Drosophila melanogaster: one gene and its partners. The protein of the gene in region 3 interacts with the protein of the main gene of each other region in a pairwise test. Each region holds a gene or a part of one and is shown on either strand. Other genes may lie near its edges.

Evidence for each region. The genes of interacting proteins can lie anywhere in the genome.
Region 1: the proteins of Dera (region 3) and CG15717 interact in a two-hybrid assay, tested with the Drosophila melanogaster proteins (one large-scale study listed by BioGRID).
Region 2: the proteins of Dera (region 3) and CG2336 interact in a two-hybrid assay, tested with the Drosophila melanogaster proteins (one large-scale study listed by BioGRID).

Annotation. Positions count from the first base shown.
Region 1 is NC_004354.4:13,126,581-13,135,371, forward strand, and holds CG15717 (uncharacterized protein), read left to right. Parts: upstream 1-2,437; 5' UTR 2,438-2,521; coding exon 2,522-2,608; intron 2,609-2,725; coding exon 2,726-3,397; 3' UTR 3,398-3,456; exon of another isoform or gene 3,457-3,710; intron 3,711-4,412; exon of another isoform or gene 4,413-4,598; 3' UTR 4,599-5,216; coding exon of another isoform or gene 5,217-5,391; intron 5,392-6,351; coding exon of another isoform or gene 6,352-7,856; 3' UTR 7,857-7,985; downstream 7,986-8,791. Other genes in the region: CG32638 (uncharacterized protein), read right to left, coding at 1,671-1,718; MFS10 (major facilitator superfamily transporter 10), read left to right, coding at 5,217-5,391, 6,352-7,856.
Region 2 is NT_033777.3:6,578,529-6,583,125, reverse strand, and holds CG2336 (uncharacterized protein), read right to left. Parts: upstream 2,343-4,597; 5' UTR 2,210-2,342; coding exon 2,199-2,209; intron 2,131-2,198; coding exon 2,116-2,130; intron 2,054-2,115; coding exon 1,111-2,053; 3' UTR 855-1,110; downstream 1-854.
Region 3 is NT_033778.4:12,423,104-12,428,185, reverse strand, and holds Dera (Deoxyribose-phosphate aldolase), read right to left. Parts: upstream 2,704-5,082; 5' UTR 2,476-2,703; coding exon 2,424-2,475; intron 2,371-2,423; coding exon 1,787-2,370; intron 1,725-1,786; coding exon 1,317-1,724; 3' UTR 1,211-1,316; downstream 1-1,210. Other genes in the region: CG13154 (uncharacterized protein), read left to right, coding at 407-442, 504-1,208; CG8520 (uncharacterized protein), read right to left, coding at 2,935-3,057, 3,112-3,363, 3,418-4,020, 4,078-4,476.

The sequences.
Region 1 (8,791 bases), on a different chromosome or scaffold from region 3:
TAAACTGTTTTGAGCAGCTATTTATCATTGCTAACGATTCCCATCACTTTTTGAAGGATTTAGGGAAATTAATTTTTGGGTCAATTTTTTGCATTTTTTGTAAGGGGTAACATCATCAAAATTTGCAAAAAAATCGCGAAAAAATAGAATCCTTATTTTTGAACAAAGTTGGATTGGAAATTAAATTACGAGCTCAACGAGGTATAACATTCCATATTCAGACAATTATTTTAAAAGTTGTGGTAAAAAAAACGGATTATTTATTGACCGAAATTCGAAAAAAACGGGTTTTGCCAAAAAAGTGATTTTACAAACGGAACTTTTCGTCATAACTTCTCTAAAATTTGTCATATAGATAAAAGAATTACCTTTTTGAGCAGCTATTTACCAATACTAACGACGCCAATCATTTTTTGAAGGATTTAGAAAAATTAATTTTTGGGTCAATTTTCGCATTTTTTTGTAAGGGGTAACATCATCAAAATTTGCAAAAAATGGCGAAAAAATAGAATTCTTATATTTGGACACAGTTTAATTGGAAATTTAATTACGAGCTCATTGAGGTATGACATTTCATATTCAGGCAATTAATTTGAAAGTTGTGGCAAAAAAACGGATTTTTTGATCACATAAATTCGGAAAAACAGCTTTTGCCAAAAACGTAATATTTACAAATGGAATTTTTGTCATAAATACGCTAAAAATTGTTATATAGATGAAAAAATAACTGTTTTGAGCAGCAAATTACCAAGGCTAACGTTCCCTATCATTTTCATCGAAGAATTAAGGAAATTTTTGAATACAGTTCGATTTGGTATTTAATAACGAACACAACGAGGCATCTCATTTTATATTTGGACCATTATTTATAATGTTATGGTAAAAAAAACGGATTGTATTATGATAGAAATAACAATATTTATTCTTGGACAGAAAACTGCACAATTGGAAAATGTTTTTAGTGAAACGATGTAATTAGTTTATAAGGTTTTCCCGTAAGCTGTAAATTTCGCTCAAGCAGTTTTATTTCGCCCACACAAGTTGCATTAGTCCAGCTGTACATACAATGTCATTTATGTGTATTTTTTACTTATACATATAACGATGGCATTAATTTACTTATTTTCGTTCTACAACAAGTAATTTATATTTGCCGATATATGTATGTATATGTAGCTATATCCACTTTGAATGCAAAATAAGCATCCAAACACATGTAAGTAAATTTCCAAAAAAAGTTTTTATCTACTTTTCATGGCTTTTATTCCTTAAAAAACAAACACGTATGTTTCATACGCCCAGTTTAATTTTTTGACCGCTTCCGTAAAATTCTTTATCTGTTTCTTCTGTTTATGTGTGCCACCCAGCCAGTTGAACCGCCCTGCTGTTAATATTTTGACCGCAGCTGTACCATATGTTATCTATTTACCCTGTTTATTCTTTCCCCTAATTTAAATGAGACTTTTTCATTTATTCAGAATTTTTATCTGTTTCTTTGTTTTTTTTTTTTTGTCATGAGTTATGAGTTTTCCTAGTCGCCCATTGCTATTTTTATGGCTGCAATTGTTTGTTGGATAAGATGAGGGGGGTGAGTGCAGTGCACTGCTTGCTGGCCAGTGCAGTGCAATAGCGGCATCTCGTCTCCCGCATCGCATGCACTGCTTGCTTACCTTCACACGCACAAAAGGGGATCCCATCAGCTCGTTGAGGTCGGTCATGATGATGTCGCTCTCCTGCTCCTTCTCGCTCGCACTCAAATGCAGTTATTGCAGCGGCTACCGCTCTCTCACTCCCACTCCTGCTGCTGCCACACGCGGCGCAGACAACAACAACAATAAAACACAAAAAAAAATGAGTCGCACAGCTGTTTTGTTATTTTCGTGTGCAACAATTTGCTGAAATCGTTCCACTTTGCGTCTATTTTCACTTGCAATTCACTTTCAATTGGTGCTAAAAGCGCAATAGCTTCACTGTATGAGTGTATCTGTGTGCGTCTGTGCGTGTGTGTGTGTGTGCGCGCACTTGTTGGTCTTCTTTCGTTCTCCAAATGTTCTTGTTGTTGCTGCTGCAATATTTGGCAATCGCTGTTGTTGTTGCTGCCTTTGCACGGGGGCGTCAACAATGAACGGCGAATAACGAGTGATGTCAACAACTATTAGCTAGCCGGGGGCAAAAGTGTTATTTTCTTTTATACGCTGGAAGGCGTCAGCGCAGCAACACGACCAATTGCAATTTAAATTAAAATTGTGATGTGTGGGCCAATGTGACCGGTCGCTGTTCCGCTTATACATGCCAGTTATTATTTCGGTGTGACCGTAGCTATAAAATGCGACAGGCCGTGTTAAATACTGAATAATACCAATAACTGGTATTTTAGTTTATCAGCGATCTTCCTTCTCTGCATGTGAATGTGTGTGTGCGTGTGTGTCTGTTTATGTGCGTGTGTGTATGTTTGCGTGAGCCGCTGATAACGCAGCTGATCGGGCGATTCCATTGAATTCAAGTTTTCAATTCGCAGAGCATGGCCAGCAACTTCACCCAGTCCCAGCCGTCCAGGATCACCAGCTACATGGTCAACCAGCTGCAGCCGACGGCGCAGGAAACGAAGGTCAGTCAGACAATATCGGACATAACCTTGATCTCCTTGGCACACGGATTGTGTCTCAGTGAGATTATCGGAGCACCTACATACATATGTTAAATTCAAAAATGTATCTACTTGCAGTTGGCGCTGATTCCCAGTGCACCCCAGTGGCGCTCCCCCCAGCTGATGGTCGTCTTCGAGGACGGTGATCTGCACTCAGCGCGCCACCAGTTGCTCCAGTCCCTGCAGAATCCCTTTGCCGAGGGATCGGTGGCCACGTTGCTACTCCAGGAGAGCATTGCCGATCAGTTTGTGGGCCTAGTGGCGCAGGATTTGCGTCCGTTGTCGCAGGAGGTGTCCAAGCATCCGAGCTACACCAGCACGCTGGCCAAGATCGAAGAGCTGAAGGCCAAGACAGTACAAGGCGAAAGCCTTAAGGCTGGGGAATCACCCGTCTTGGTGTACGACTGCGTGCACAGCTATCTGGGCAATGGAGCGACGGGAGTGGTGACGGTGCACACATTCCGCACAGCCAAGGAGGCCGGCCAGTTGGCCAAAAGGGATCCCCTACCTTACGGCCAAGTTAGTCTGTGGAATGAGAAGCTGGGCTGCGCCTACGAACTGATACCACGACTACCGAGCGATATTGTGGCCATTAATTGCTTCAATCCGGACTTGGATCCCATCTGGGAATCCTTTGCTGCCGACCGCAACGATGTTCTGCTGGCCAAGAACTATCACTATGAATCGCTGGTGGTGAGCGGCAAACGGAGGATCGTCGTCTTTCCCGTGGGCACCATCTTCGGCAACTGAAGAGTGACAGTTCTGGACTTCGACGGCGACGAATCACATCCGGAAGGAATTACATCCAGGTGCTTTTTAAGCCATACTTTAAAATACCTCTCTAAGCATTTTACATGTAGCTTGGGGCATCCTTTTCGACAGTTCAATTGGAATTATATCGAACTAAATTAGGAGTTATGTCAAACAACTAGCATTTAATGTGGCTTAACTTAGAAATTATCTGATTTTGCAACCATCATAATATTCCAATTGTATTGCGAAAAGGTCCTTGAGTCTGAATTGTTTTTTTGATACTCTGTCAATAATTGTCCACTGAAAAATCATCAGCCAACTTTTATGCATCTGTGGGAATTTGGGGTAGGTCCACGAATCTCTGCATGCAACAGGCATTTTTTCAGGACATGCGCAAGTGCTGCTCCAGAAATAGAAATCCTGCAAAGCAGTTTAAATGGAAGCAGTTGAAGGGCACACTCATACACTTGGGGCCAAAATAATAGCGCTCATTTTAGTAAACTTAACATACTATGAAGTAAATGAACCATTTAACTGATAAACTGGTAATGATTTCAATGAAAATTTTTAAAAGAACATTTTGTTTTGTGCGAGCTACGCAGCGATCGATCAACTTAACCCTTTATCTTATCTATTTCATTGTAAACGGACAACAAATATGGAAAAATTTCCAGATGTAGAAATGTACATACTATGTGTGGAATTTAGGTTTTTGCTCATTTCTTTTGTTCTCTAACTAGAGCCTGCTTGAATTGACTTACATACATTAAAAGAGCTTGGCTACTTAAACGTAGCTATTGTGTTAGCCTGAGTTGTTTGAGTGTGCGTGTATTTGTGTTGGCAACTAAAGTATACTTTGCCTTTCTCTCCTCGTTGTTTTTATTCTCAAGATTTTAGTACAAATTCCCTTTTTGATTTCGACTATCTGGAAATTAGTTTTGTTTTATTGTTTTTATTTTCTTACAAATAGTAATTTTTCAGTGCTGGCAAATATACCATATCGCCGTTTATAGTTTGTGTGTGTGTGTAAACTAACTGTAACTAAACAAAGATAGTATACTTAAGTTAGTTCACAACAATACAATTCACACTGCACTCTCTTCTCTTCTCGCACATCACCCCCTTTCTCTTTGGCCCTCTCTAATGCTCTCTCTCTCACCCACTCTCTTTCGTTCTTGCATCCCCTTCTGTGACGTAGCGCCGCACCATTCATGCTCCACTTTCACACGGGAGAGAGCGAGAACGCCACAGAGCCAGCCATTAGAGAGGGAGCGAGCTGTGGTGACTCCAAACGCAGTGGCGCAGCAAAAGGGGCAACTAAACAATGACTGAAATTCCCAAAGAACTACGCCATCATTCTATCGCCAGAAAGTATTTACTCTTCTCACTCGAGGAATCCCCTCTGTGATTTTGGCTCGCCACCCCACAACTACGCCACTGTTACCCCTCTTGTGGTTAGAAGCTACGTTTGCTGGCGCTGCCTTTTGCTTAGGTTTGTTGTTGCGCTGTCCGTTGCCCGTTGCCATTTGCCAGTCCGTCAGTCTGCGCTGGTTCCCGCTGGCGTGGTGAGGTGTCCGCTCGCGTTGCCGCTCCCGTTCCCGCTCCCGCTCACACGGCTCTTGATTTTGGTGGACAAGCAAACCGCTTCCGCCACCGCTGGCGATACAAATACAATAACTACACTACAGCTGCCGCTCCGGCAGAGAAAATGCGTTGGCAGTTGCAGTTCCAAACGCTCAAAAGACGCTCGAAAAGCACAGACCGCCAAGCACCAACATCTCCAATCGGAATCCACGAAACCAAATAGAGCGCCACGATGCCACCGCACAAATGGACGGACGAGTCGCGGGACGCCTCCTGTTACTACGATCCATCCACCTCCTCCAATTCATCCGCCTCGGCGGAGCGCTCCGACGACGAAGCGGACGACGAACGGGAGGCGTTTTGCTCCGGCGAACGACCGCTAATCCGCTCCAGCGGCGCTGCGGAGGGTGAGTAGCTACAAGATACACAGATGGGGAAAGATATTTACCTAGCTATAGCATATGTAGGTGGAGCAACGTAGATATGCGTATTACAAGCTCAAGATACCTTTATTTATTTAAATCTTTAGTGCTATTTCTGCTTCATATTGATTTGCATTTATGTATTGTACATACATATGTCCTGGGTCAGTACTTTTATTAAACATAAACTCTCGGAATATCTGTGTAAAAAAAAACAGTACTCAACGCAAAGATACTTTTTGTTGTAAACAAATTTCATTTTACGTATATCCAAGACACTCTAAAATTGTATCTTTCAATTTATAATAATTCTCATTTAATCTTAAAGTAAGATATTATATGGCTTATAGATTTCAATAACTAATAAAAATAATTAAAATGTTTTTATACATATAACATAACATACATATAATATAAAATAACCTAATAATTACGCATAAATTTTAATTTTCACGTAATACTATCCAGTTATCCAGTTAACAGCCTATGCCTATGTATAATTTATTCGCCAAGGGCCGAAATTACGACTTGTTTACATTTACTGATATGAAGCGAAGTTTTTCTGAACTTTATAGAACAGTACAAATCTGCATTTCAAATGGAACGGAGGGCCGATAACTTTTTCGATGGTATCAGATCGTAATATTTTTATTTTAGATTTTATACTTGAGCGATTCCTATGAACAAGTATCTGAAAAGAAATTAAATTCACTGGCAATGGCATCTCATGTAAACATTTCTAAAGGAATAAAAAAGTGAAGAAATTGAGGCAATTTAAACTATGCAATGATAACACATTGAATGGTATTTAGGGATTTTCAGTGTAACATTGGGCCTTATCGAGAACGGCGAGAACTTTTAAGTAAAACCGGAACTGATATCGTTATTACGCCTCCTAAACCATAGCTTACTAACCATCCACTCTCTCCTCTCTCCACCCTGCAGAAAACCATGGCTGTGGCCCAAAGACGCGTCACATTTTCGGATTCATGGGCTTCCTGGGATTCGCCGTGGTCTACGCGATGCGGGTCAATCTGTCGGTGGCCATTGTGGCCATGGTGAACCAAACGGCAATTCCGCACAGCAACTCATCGGTGATTGATACGGACACGTGTCCACTACCGGCACCACATCACAATGGTAGCGATCCCAATCCGCAGAAGGAGGGCGAGTTTGTGTGGGACGAGGCCACGCAGGGATTGGTGCTCGGCAGTTTCTTCTATGGCTATGTGCTAACCCAAGTGCCCGGCGGACGGATGGCCGAGCTGTATGGTGGGAAGAAGATCTACGGCTATGGAGTGTTGATCACGGCGGTCTTTACGCTTATAACTCCATTGGCTGCCCACTGGGATCTGCCGCTGTTGGTCCTGGTCCGCATCCTGGAGGGAATGGGCGAGGGCGTCACCTATCCAGCTATGCACGCCATGCTTGCCCACTGGATACCGCCGCTGGAGAGGAACAAGTTCGCCGCAATCGTCTATGCGGGCTCCAATATCGGAACAGTCATTTCCATGCCGCTGGCCGGATGGCTGTGCTCGCTGGACTTCCTGGGTGGCTGGCCGTCGGCTTTCTACATCTTCGGACTGTTGGGCATTCTGTGGTTCATCGCATGGATGTATTTGGTGTACGACAAGCCTAGCGATCATCCCAGGATCTCAGAATCGGAGCGAGAGTATATCGAAAGGAGTCTACAGGTTCAGAGGCTAATAAATCAGGATCTAGCGGAGGCCGAGGAAGAGGAGGGACAGGATGAAGTGAGTCTGCGGGCGCCGCCGGAGGAACCGATACCCTGGTCATCGCTGCTCACATCCGTACCTCTGTGGGCCATCTTGTTGACGCAATGCGGCCAGGGATGGGCCTTCTACACGCAGCTAACCGAGCTGCCCACCTACATGAGCAACATCCTACACTTTGACATCCAGTCGAATGCTCTGCTCAATGCGGTGCCGTATCTAACCTCCTGGTTCGTGGGCATTGCCTGCTCCGCCCTGGCGGATTGGATGCTAGCCAGACGCTACATATCGCTGCTGAACTCGTATAAGTTGTGGAACACGGTGGCCTCCGTGGTGCCATCACTGGGCCTGATTGGCATCATCTATGTGGGCTGCGATTGGGTGTGGGTCACCTTTATGTTGGCCGGCGTGGGCTCTTTCGGCGGCGCCGTCTATGCTGGCAACCAGATGAATCACATAGCGCTCAGTCCACGATATGCAGGCACCATGTATGGCATCACCAATTCGGCGGCAAATATCTGTGGCTTCCTGGCTCCGTATGTCATCGGTCTAATCATCAATCATCGCGAGACTCTGACACAGTGGCATCTGGTCTTCTGGCTGGCGGCGGGCTTGAATATAGCCGGTAACTTCATCTACCTGATCTTCGCCAGCGCCGAGGAGCAAAGCTGGTCGAAGACACCACCCACACGCAACTCACGATCCCAGCGCGCTTGAAGCAAGCCTAACTATACGCTATTTTAGCTAGATCATAAGCATTTGTGATAATTCCGATATATACACATATATCCTACATATGTATTTGGGCTCGAAGTTTTCCGGATGCAGGACAAGAATGTGGCTTCCAAAAAGAAAAAAAAAAAACGAAACGAACGAAACTAGTGCTACCAAATCGGAATGGAAAATCGAAAGGATGTTAACTGTTTTAGTGTATTATATACGTGTATCGTCCTTTTATATGGACTTTTGTTTTGCTAGGCGTCTTTTTTTTGTAAACAATTATACCAATACCAACTATATATATATATACATATATATTTATATATCTATCATATACACGCTCGAAGGCACGTAGATCTGTCGAAATAAACAGCACAAACATATCGAACTGTGGCACCTGATTTAAGCATTTTATTCTTTAACTGGCAGGTGGTTTTCGTGTATCCGACTAAGTAATACCTCTTCATTGGAGAATTATGATTTGATGGGTTATTTATTTTATGCAGCTACTAGAGTCTTGGATTTTTAAAACACTTTTAGGCTTTTCATGTTTTTGAAGGCTGTAAAAATGTTGCATAATTTCAGGGGCGAAGTGTTCATGTCAAATTATGCCTAAAACATAAATGGGGTGTATAAAAAGTATCTCAAAATAGTGAGTAATACTTTGGTAGTAAAATGTTTGTGCGTAGAAACGATAATATATAATTAAGAAAGATTAAAGCAATACAATACCTTCTTCATTTTACAGCTTTAAATCTTAATTTTAAAGGTTTCTTATATTATGATTTAGAAATACGAATAGAATACCTTCGATAAAGCTCTGTCTTTGGTTCTTTTAGTAACTTTTCGTAGGTTTAAATGTTACAATGTTAAATGTTAATTTTCTAAATAAGTTCATTTAAACAATATGCATCCGAGATTTTGTCGCAGCC
Region 2 (4,597 bases), on a different chromosome or scaffold from region 3:
ATTCGTTTGAATGGCTCCATCAGGGTATCGGACGGGAGCCTAAGTAAAGTCCCATATTTTCGCACTTGTTTGTTTATGAATTTGTTTATTTAGTGAGCGGGCCCTGCTTGCCGACATGCTTTACTATGCCACAGCGGGCCGGAACCCTGGTAGCCAACAGAATTCTGCTGGATTTCACGCAAATCTTATTTGCCCATAGCCACTGGACCCACCCTCAGCCGGAGTCCGTGGCCAGGACTCCCGACTCTGGTGGACAGAAATTCCACGGTTTTGTTTTCACTGCCTGCGTTGCATATTTCGCTCTGCTCCGCACCGCTTCCATTCCATGCCCCTTGGCATGTGCTGGTTTTTTAAATTTGCCCAATTCCAGGCATGATATGTGTGTGGTTTGGGGCTGGGCGAAAAATTCGAGCCTTATTTGCCTTTCAACTTGCCCGGGATCTGCGTCGGTGGCCGTGTTATTTATGCAAATGTCAAATATTTTGATATTCCGCTGCCATGTGAATGAAAGCAAACGGAAGTACATTATAAAGTTGCCCAGCCCCCGTTTGCCAAAGTCATTCCCATTCCCGTATTATTTGGCCAACCAACAAGCCGAAATGTGCCACTAATATGACCGCCCAGTGGCCCCTCTGCACGATCGACCCTCAGCAGCGACCAAGTGGAGTAATTATGGCATATTCGAAATTCCACCCGCCATCCAGCCACTTCCCACCCACTCACCTGGCAGCCTCAACATTTTGTTGCCAACACGAACCGCCTTTTGTTGCCTTTGTTCTGCAGAGCGGGGAAATCGGGGAAGGTGCCAATGGGGCAAAGTTAATTTTTGAAATTATTGGCACGTTAGGTGAATTACTTCGCAGAAAGAATTTTTAATATCGCAATACAAAGTCACTCATAATTTCCATTAGGCCGGGGAAACGGCCTGTTGAGTTTCCCCGGAAAATATGTAGGCCAAAACTCTTGGGACGGGCAGACGTTTTGTAGCAATTAAATTGGTAATTGAGTTGCCCAACCGGAAAGTCAATTAGCCAGAGGCCCTAGATCAATGACTAGTAATTTAAATTGGCTGTCAAAAGAAGTTCGAGTGCGACCCCCCGATGGGAGAGATCAGTACTGGACGAGTGCCTCGCGGGCCAACTTTGCCCAGATGGTGCCAACTGGATGGACAACCACTTTGCGCTTTCCCTTAAAGGTCAATGACTCGTAGTGGTAGCCGTCGATAATCTTTGCGGAGTTAAAGTTGCAAACGAAGGGCAGAGTGATTTCGTTCAGATTAACGTAGTAACAATTAATCGTGAAGATCAGCGGACTTAATCGGGCCACCAGTTCGTAGGCGGCTGCCAGTTTTTCGTTCCAAATGCACACAGAGGTAAAGTTAAGTGGTTCCTTAGCCTGCAGCTCAACGGCCTCCTTCATGGTTCGAAAGGTGTGCAGGGTTATGACCCCGGTGGGTCCATCAGCCAAGTAACGATGGCTAAGGTCGTAGACCAGCATGGGACTAGCATTTTCTGGAACAGTCTTGGGATTTCCAACTATTCTCTTTGCCTGTAAGTGACCTATTCTCTCCAGTGTCATTATATAAACCGGATGCCCGGAGATATCCGTGCTCAACGGTTCCAGGCGATCCCTTATGCGATCCACGAACTCCTCCAATATGGATTCCTGCAAGAAAAGAGTGGCCACCGCATTGCAGGCGAAGGGATCGTGAAGAGACTCAACGAGATAGTGCAAAGCGCAATTGATGTCTCCATCTTCGCAGAGAATCATCAGCCGCGGCGAGTTCCACTGGTATTTAACTTGCACTTCCGGTTCCGGTTCATCTTCACTCATTGAACTCGATCGGGAATGGTATGAAAGCCTAGGCACCTTCTTTGGCTTCTCAGGAGCACTGTCTTTGGACTTGAACTCTGTCTCAATTTCTAGGATCAACGGCACACTGACATCCCGAGGCTTGTTGCAAACCAGATTGTAGATAAATCCATAATCAATCAGTGGAGTCGGCAGCAAAGGGTACTTATAGATATATTGAACCTCCTCTTCTAGACTGATACTGTTTAAAAAGAAAAATATTAAAATACTCAGATCTGGATAGTAACTTATATCGATACCTACGCCGTGGGTCGGTTGCTGTGAATGAAAACGGAAATATGCATATTAGCGATAGCAATAGACACCATAATATTTTTTTTACTTACTTGTACATCATTAAAATCGGAAATATTACAAACTTAATAGATTTAAATATTTAAAAGGTAAACTTAACCGTTACTGAAAAGCCTATTAAGCTCGTCCCAAAAACAAACACACTCAGAATTTTTTTAACACTTTAGGCTTAGGATAGTTACATAATCTATTCGAAATCTGAAGTCTTTATAAAAGTGAGCTCCAAGCCGTACTTCCTAATCAACTGGAAATGCCTGTCCGCCTCGGTATCTAAGTTTCAGATACGTTGAGCCTTGTTATATCGCAGTGATTTATCAAATCACACTCATTCACACTTGACTTGTGCAGTTGACCGCCCATCGAAGGCTGCCCCCAACGACCTTATTGTGGGCAGAGGGATTTACAGTTGATTTAACCGTTTAAGCATGGCTAATGCATAATAATCGTTTGGCCGCAAACTTTTCAACCACTTCTGTGGGCATTTGTGTTTGAGTTCAGTGTGTATGTAGGGCGATTTCCCGTCCTGTTTTGCCCCTTGCCCAGACTCCCGTCCAACCTATTTGAGATAGAAATCATGTGCAGTCATTAGATTGTTTTTCGATTGACGTGACATGATAATGAAAGATTTTCTTTCGCTCGTTCCTTTGTTTCCCTTCGCTTTCTTGGCTCGGCTATTCTTTCCGCTTGCTTTTTCTTGGGTCGCAACTTTTGTGGCGCCCAACGTGCAATTTGTGCGAAAAGTGGGTGTGCAAAGTGGCGACGTGGACAATGGAAGGCGGCAGGTGGCAGGTGGCTGCCACTTTGTTTGCTGATTTGTTTATGGCTGACCATAATGACCGATGAAGTGGCAGCTGGCCGCCTCAAGTGGTTGTTAAACCCAGTTTCGCCGGCGAAATTAACACGAATTGCAATTAAAGTGGGCACGAAAATCATTCTCATGCACTCAGCCGAAAAACGTTAAATGTAAAATCTATATATCCATTTATATATATATGCTTGCAGTTAAAATATATTTAAAATAGAAAAATGCTTATACCGAATTAGAACACTTTATAATTAAAAACCACGATGATATGATTTCTTTCCTATATGATAGAGTGTTTATATCTGGAATTAACAAACTTACAATAAAAAGACTTTTTGAAAGTTTTATTCGGCTAGTTCTAAAACTGAGACTCTAGTTTGCATACAAATCGACGGACGCACAGAAGGTCATGGCTAAACCAACTCCCTTTTCAAATAATGTGTTTTATTTCTAAATCGTTTACTCAATTTTTGTTTTTGACTTGAAGCTTATTCTAGCCAAAAGCGTTTAAAGCGGTGACTGACATTTGTGGCAGCTCGGACCGACTGGCGATGACAGGTGGGACAATGACGGAAAAGTGTCGCCGGCAGCCCGACAACTTCGAGAGCTGTTCACCTGGTGGGGTGAGGACAAAGACTGGGCGAGACTGTTTTGCTCATTAAGGGACTATTTAAATAAAACGCCTGTTAACTACAACGAGATAGGCGAGTTATGTATGTTATGTTATGAGGTGGTTTTAATTAAAATGTATAACTGGAATCAAAAGAATCAGTCAAAGAAAGCCGCACACATACAAAAAAGAAAATGTACCACGTCTGGCGTATTATAAGGGCATTTCCATTTCCTACGGACACATTGAGTCCCTGACAGGGGGAAATGGCAGCGAGCGAGCTCTTGACTCGCAGGACGACTTGCCACGCCCCCTGCCATCGCCACCGCCGCCCACGTGCCACTCCTTTTGCATGTCCTCGTCGCCGTCGACGTCGTCGTCTTCGCATTTCGTCTGGTTCTTGAGCGGCGGCGCTTTGTTTTGGCTTAATTAATACGCGTTTACATGTTGCCGACTTACGCACGCTTCGCATGTTCCAGAGACTCACTCACTCAAATACACACAGTCACACATTCAAACTTGGGACGCCTCCAGGACATTCCCGCCCCTTTTTGCGCACTGCGGTTGACACGCAAATGCAATTTGTGTGCCTAAGGTAATTTCTGTCTCCAGGTCTCGGGGTCTCTTCCACAATACAAATGAGTGGAATAAATATTTAAATAGAAGTCCTTGTTTGGCCTTCTTTTCTCGCATTTTTCTGCTTGCCTCTTATGAAACTTTAATTAATGCGTTAGCAGCACACAAATTTTAATCAAGAACGTACTTGTGGCCTAGCTGATCATTAATTAGGTGGGGTAATTGCAAACTGGCGGCAGTTTCACTTCCGTTCTAGCTGGAATATCATTTAAATTTCCATTTAAAGTCGACCACAGCCCCCGCGAGTATAACCATATGCTGCGGGCCAAAGTTGCGATAAAATCAAAATTTTAATTTAATTAAACGCGTACTGAATTTGTTGTAATCAATTAGCTCGATGTTCACTGAGCACCGAATGAGTTTCACGGACAGGTGCATAG
Region 3 (5,082 bases):
GCAGAAGGCAATCGCTCGGACTCATTATGAGTGGCAAACGGTTCGTCTCTGGCAGTTCCAGTTTGTTCAACTCCCAGCATCGGTATCACCATCGTTGTTACATTAACATTATTATGTGCTCTGGCGTGTGCATACATGTGCAGTCTAGTTAGTTGGCTCGTTACATATTTATTTCTTGTGTGGGAAACTAGTTTTCTCCCAGTCAACCAGCCAGCCAGGGTCCGTGCAGGTTTTTTGTTGGCCATTGATGGCGGAGACTTCCGAGCTTCCGTTTGGAGCATGTAGCGCCAGTATAAATGAATTGGCCAGCTCCAAGGAGGCCTCACATCGTTTCAGATCTAAGAAAGTGAAGGTGGTTCAATTGGAGCACTGCATATGAGGAGCTGAAAGTGAAACGTTCAGAGCTATGGGAATTAAATTGGACATGAATGGTTTATTGGTTGTGAGTTGTTTGGCTTGACCGCTCAATGCGAAAATCGGACTAAGTTTTCACATCCTTGCAGTTGTTTTTGTGCGCCTTTTGCTGCAGCGTGGTGGCCAAACCACCGACAGCTCGGCGGGCACAGCTGCACGACGATGTCCAGCTTATCCATCCCCACATCATCACCATAGAGCGTTTAGAGAATTTGCTGCGGCGTGCTGGGGAAATCTTTGGTCCGGCTCTAGAGGAAGATGCCATGGCGGAGGCCAGTAGTCAGGTGCAGGAGCAAGTGCAGCCGCAGCAGCGAATGCTGCCGCCAACGGAGCAGCCGTATAACTTCTATTTACCTCTATACGACTTCGTGGAGCCCAAGCTGGATGCCAAGAGCCGAATGCTGGAGAAGATTGCTCCTCCGCCGCAAAAGACGGAGCACAACTACTACGCGGAAAAGCCAAAAAAGAAGCCAAAGAAGTTTAACGCTGCCAACAAGCACATCAACCTCAATCTCAAGTGGCTTAACACCTACGAGAGGGCCATGGGCGGAGCAACTGCGCCCAAAGCCATGTATCTGGAGCAGGACGAGCGCAACCGAATAAACTTCGACGACTCCTTCTTTGCGGTGGACATGCAGGTAAAGATTCCGGATAATCAGCCCCACAAGGAGCCAGCTGCGCCCACAGAGCTCTTGCAGCATGGCGAAGAGCAGGCCGAGGAAGATTTGATGGCGGCTCCTGCGCAGTTAGCCTTTAACTTCAAGTCTCCCGTCCAGGAAGAACGTCGAACATAGATGCGGTTTTTTTTGCTATAGGTTTTAGTCAGTTGTATAAAAAAGCTACAATAAATGCACTTAGAGTGAGTAAAGTCCAGAATACGGATTCGACCAGTTGGCCTCCTCCTACTTCTTCCGCAGCTCCTTGCAGAAGGTCTCGGCAGCAGCAGCCTCGCGAGACACGGGCACATTTTTCTGAGCCTCATCCTCCTCGAGTTTTTTGACACCCTGACGCACAACGCGTTCAATGTCGTCCAGCAATCCGGAGGCTCCGAAACGGAACCTCTCGGGACGCAACCAGCGGATGCCAAGAGTTTCGTTGACCAACGTCATCCAGGCGATCGCATCTCGTACAGTCTTTACTCCTCCGGCTGGCTTAAGGCCCACAATCTGGCACGTGCGTCGTTTGAATTCCTGAATGGCAAATATCATGACCAGGCCAACGGGCAGGGTGGCGTTGACTGTCTCCTTTCCCGTTGAGGTCTTGATAAAATCCGCTCCGGCCATCATGCAAACCATGGCTGCTTTGTAAACCTAAAGAAATTAATGGATTTGAATGGTATTTTAGTATAGGGATTAGGCGATATTGATCTCACATTATCCATGGTGCCCAGCTCCCCGATGGCCAGAATTGTTTTTAGGTGAGCCCTTTGTCCACAGGCACTGCGCATAAGGACCACCTCGTTGTACATGGCCTCCCAGTCGCCAACGAGGGCCAACTGGCGATTGATCACAATGTCGATCTCTGTGGCTCCAGCAAGAATGGCGTGGCTGATCTCCTGCAGGCGGGTCTGCAGGCCGTACTGGCCCGTGGGAAATCCCGTGGCCACCGCTGCAATAGCCACCTTATCCAGTTTGTCGTACTGTTGGATAGCTAAATAGGCGTCCTTTACCCTGGCGGGATAAACGCAAACGGCGGCCGTGTGCATCTCTGGGATGAGAGCCCGGTCGAAGAACTTGTCAAAGAACTGCGGCTCGAAGGGATAGCAGGCGCGTAGGCATAGTCTCCGCACATTGGCAGCCGTATCATCGCCCGCCAAGGTGGTAAGATCTGTCAGCATCAGAGCCCTCAGCGCCCAGGCGATTTCGTTGGCTCCGGTGACATGGCATCGCTGGGACACCGTCAAAGCGATCTCCTCGACCTGCCGCAGCGAGATGTTTACCTTAAGCAGGGAGGGATCTGCGAAATATATATGTATATATTTAAATTCGTACTATTGTGCGAATTCTTACCATAGGGCAGGGTTTTGTTTACTTCCAATTCCTTCACATCCATGCTGCTCATTGCTGTCAAACGAAAATTTAGCTGACTAAATTCCACTTGAAGATAAAATCGTTCGATCGCCGATCTTGACCTCTAATCTTCTACTCAACCTCAACCGAAGAACATGGAGAGTCTTATCAATTTGCTTGTTGGACAGCTGATGACGACGTTGCCAGACCGTTCGCATTAACTGATAATTTATGAGATGGATTCCGTTAAAAGATCACCGATATTAACAATAAGTAAATTTGTTATGTAAAACTCCACAGCTTGCTGTTTAATAAAGCCAATCGCTTAGGTAACTTTGTCTATTTTTTATTGTCTTAATACTTGCGAAATACACCTAATTTTAATATTGCATTTTCGATATGAAATTTGTAAGTACAAGATATTGTGAATTTTAAAATACCGCGTCAGCGAGGTAGAAAACATGTAATTTTTATAGCGCTAATTGAACTACTGCTTTGTGACAAGGGGTTTTCATCGATGTTTGGCCCACTGCTCCCAGTACTCCCTCTTCTGCATTTCATAGAGTCGAGATAGTGTGCGATCAAAGGCGAACAGCTCTTCCTCGCCGGTGAAAAAACTGGCTTTGGATTCTTTCTGTAAACAAAAACGTGTTGATTTTAATGGTAGAAGAATGAGTTACTAACTTACTATATTTAGATCGTCCATTAGGGTTCGCTCAGAATCGGACAGAGTTTTGGAACCTCCAGTAAAGCTGAACAAGTTTTCCAGCGCAACGTCGGATGATATCACCACACGCACTCGGTTATTGTAAAGGGTATCTATGAGCGTGATAAATCGTCGCATCTGTGCCTTCACATCAAGGGTCAGCTGGGGCACATCTCGGATGAGGACGGTGTGAAAGAATTGCGATATCTGTAAGAAATCACTGCCAGCCAAAGGCTAATGCGGAATATGTTGAGTATGGGTAAGATTATGTATTAATACTTTGCTTACGCGATCACAGAGTTCCGAGAAGGTGCTGTCCAGTACCTGGCCACACGTGCGATTGAAGGTCAGATCTCTTCCGAAATGAGTCAGGGTTCGCGGCCGGATAATATCGTTTTCTTCGGCGCACAGGATCTTGAACATGCGATTCATACTGCCGTCCGCATCCGTTTGGCCTTTGACGAAGTAGTTGGTGTCACCAGATTGGGCTATACGTCGGTAGTCAATAGAATCCAACTGGGACACCTTACAGCGACGCTGAAGTAACGCAATGAAGGGCAGAAAGTTCGTGCGCTGCAGTCCGTTCTTGTACAGATCCTCTGGATGCCGATTGCTGGTGGCCACAACCACAATGCCATGGCGGAAAAGGTGCGTAAACAATCTCTTTAGCACCATGGCGTCGGCTATGTCCGTCACCTGAAATTCATCGAAGCAAATCAACCAGGACTCACTGGCAATCAGGTCAGCAACCGGTTTTGTGGGATCAAATGGTGCTGGTTTTTCAGAATTAAAGGCACGGTCAACAGGTCCTTGTCTCTGCTTGGCCTCGTGGATGCGGGTGTGCACGGTGTTCATGAACGAAGTAAAATGGACGCGCTGCTTTCGATGAATCTGAAAGTCACAAGTCATGTGAATATGGGCCTCGAGAAATACTCATTCATCACTTACTTGGGTACAGCAGTCGAAGAACAGGTCCATCAGAGTGGTCTTGCCCACACCCACGCTGCCGTACAGGTACAGACCCTGAGGAGCGTGACTGCCAGCGTTAGGATCATCCTGATCGTCATCTTCGGTGGAAGATTTCCTACCAAAGATTGAACTGAAGAATCCTCCGCCGCCACCGCCCGCCCTGTAGCTGGGTTTATACCCCTGAATCTTGTGGTACAGCGCATCCAGCTCCTTCATCGTCTGCAGCTGCCTGTTGTCGGTCATCAGTTGGCCAGAACTAACACGCTTCTCATATTCCTTCAGCGGACTGAGACCGCTCATGTGGCAGGCGGGCGCCCATAGGAGCAGCGGCTTCTGCCGCGCACAGCGGACCACAAGCCCCAGTTGGTAGGTGAACATAGCAGAGTGCCACAATTAGCGCTTAACTAGGAGCTAAATCCGCGTCATCTAGACATTACATAAAACTAGAGACCTCACTTCCGCGAATTTTGACCGCGAATTTCGGTTGTTGGCCGTGAAATTTTCCCAAACCAGGGCTGGAAACAACAACAGCTGATCTGACAGCTGTTCGCACGGATGCCATAAGGTTGCAAGAGCTGCCAGATTATTTTGAGCAACCGCATTTTAAAATTTAAAATTGCTAAAATTTGCTAACAAAAAATGGACAGTAAGAAATTAATACTTTAGGGCTTATTTTAAAACGGTTTTTTGAAAGATTTTCGAATCAATAGAATAAAATTTAATTCCACAGAGCAAAAATATTTCTTAAGCCTTTGAAAAAATTTTAGATTGTTTTCTAATAGAATAAAAGATAAACAAGAACACAATAAATATGAACTCCTACCGATTTAACAATTAACCGTGAACGACAATAACAAACCTTGGGCTACGTAAACCTCTAATCAGGAATGCGAGGTAACAAAAGGATTTACAGCCCGTAAATCTTGTTATGGCACGTTTTAAATCTGATGAGTAATAGAAACAGGCGATAATCGAATTACTGTG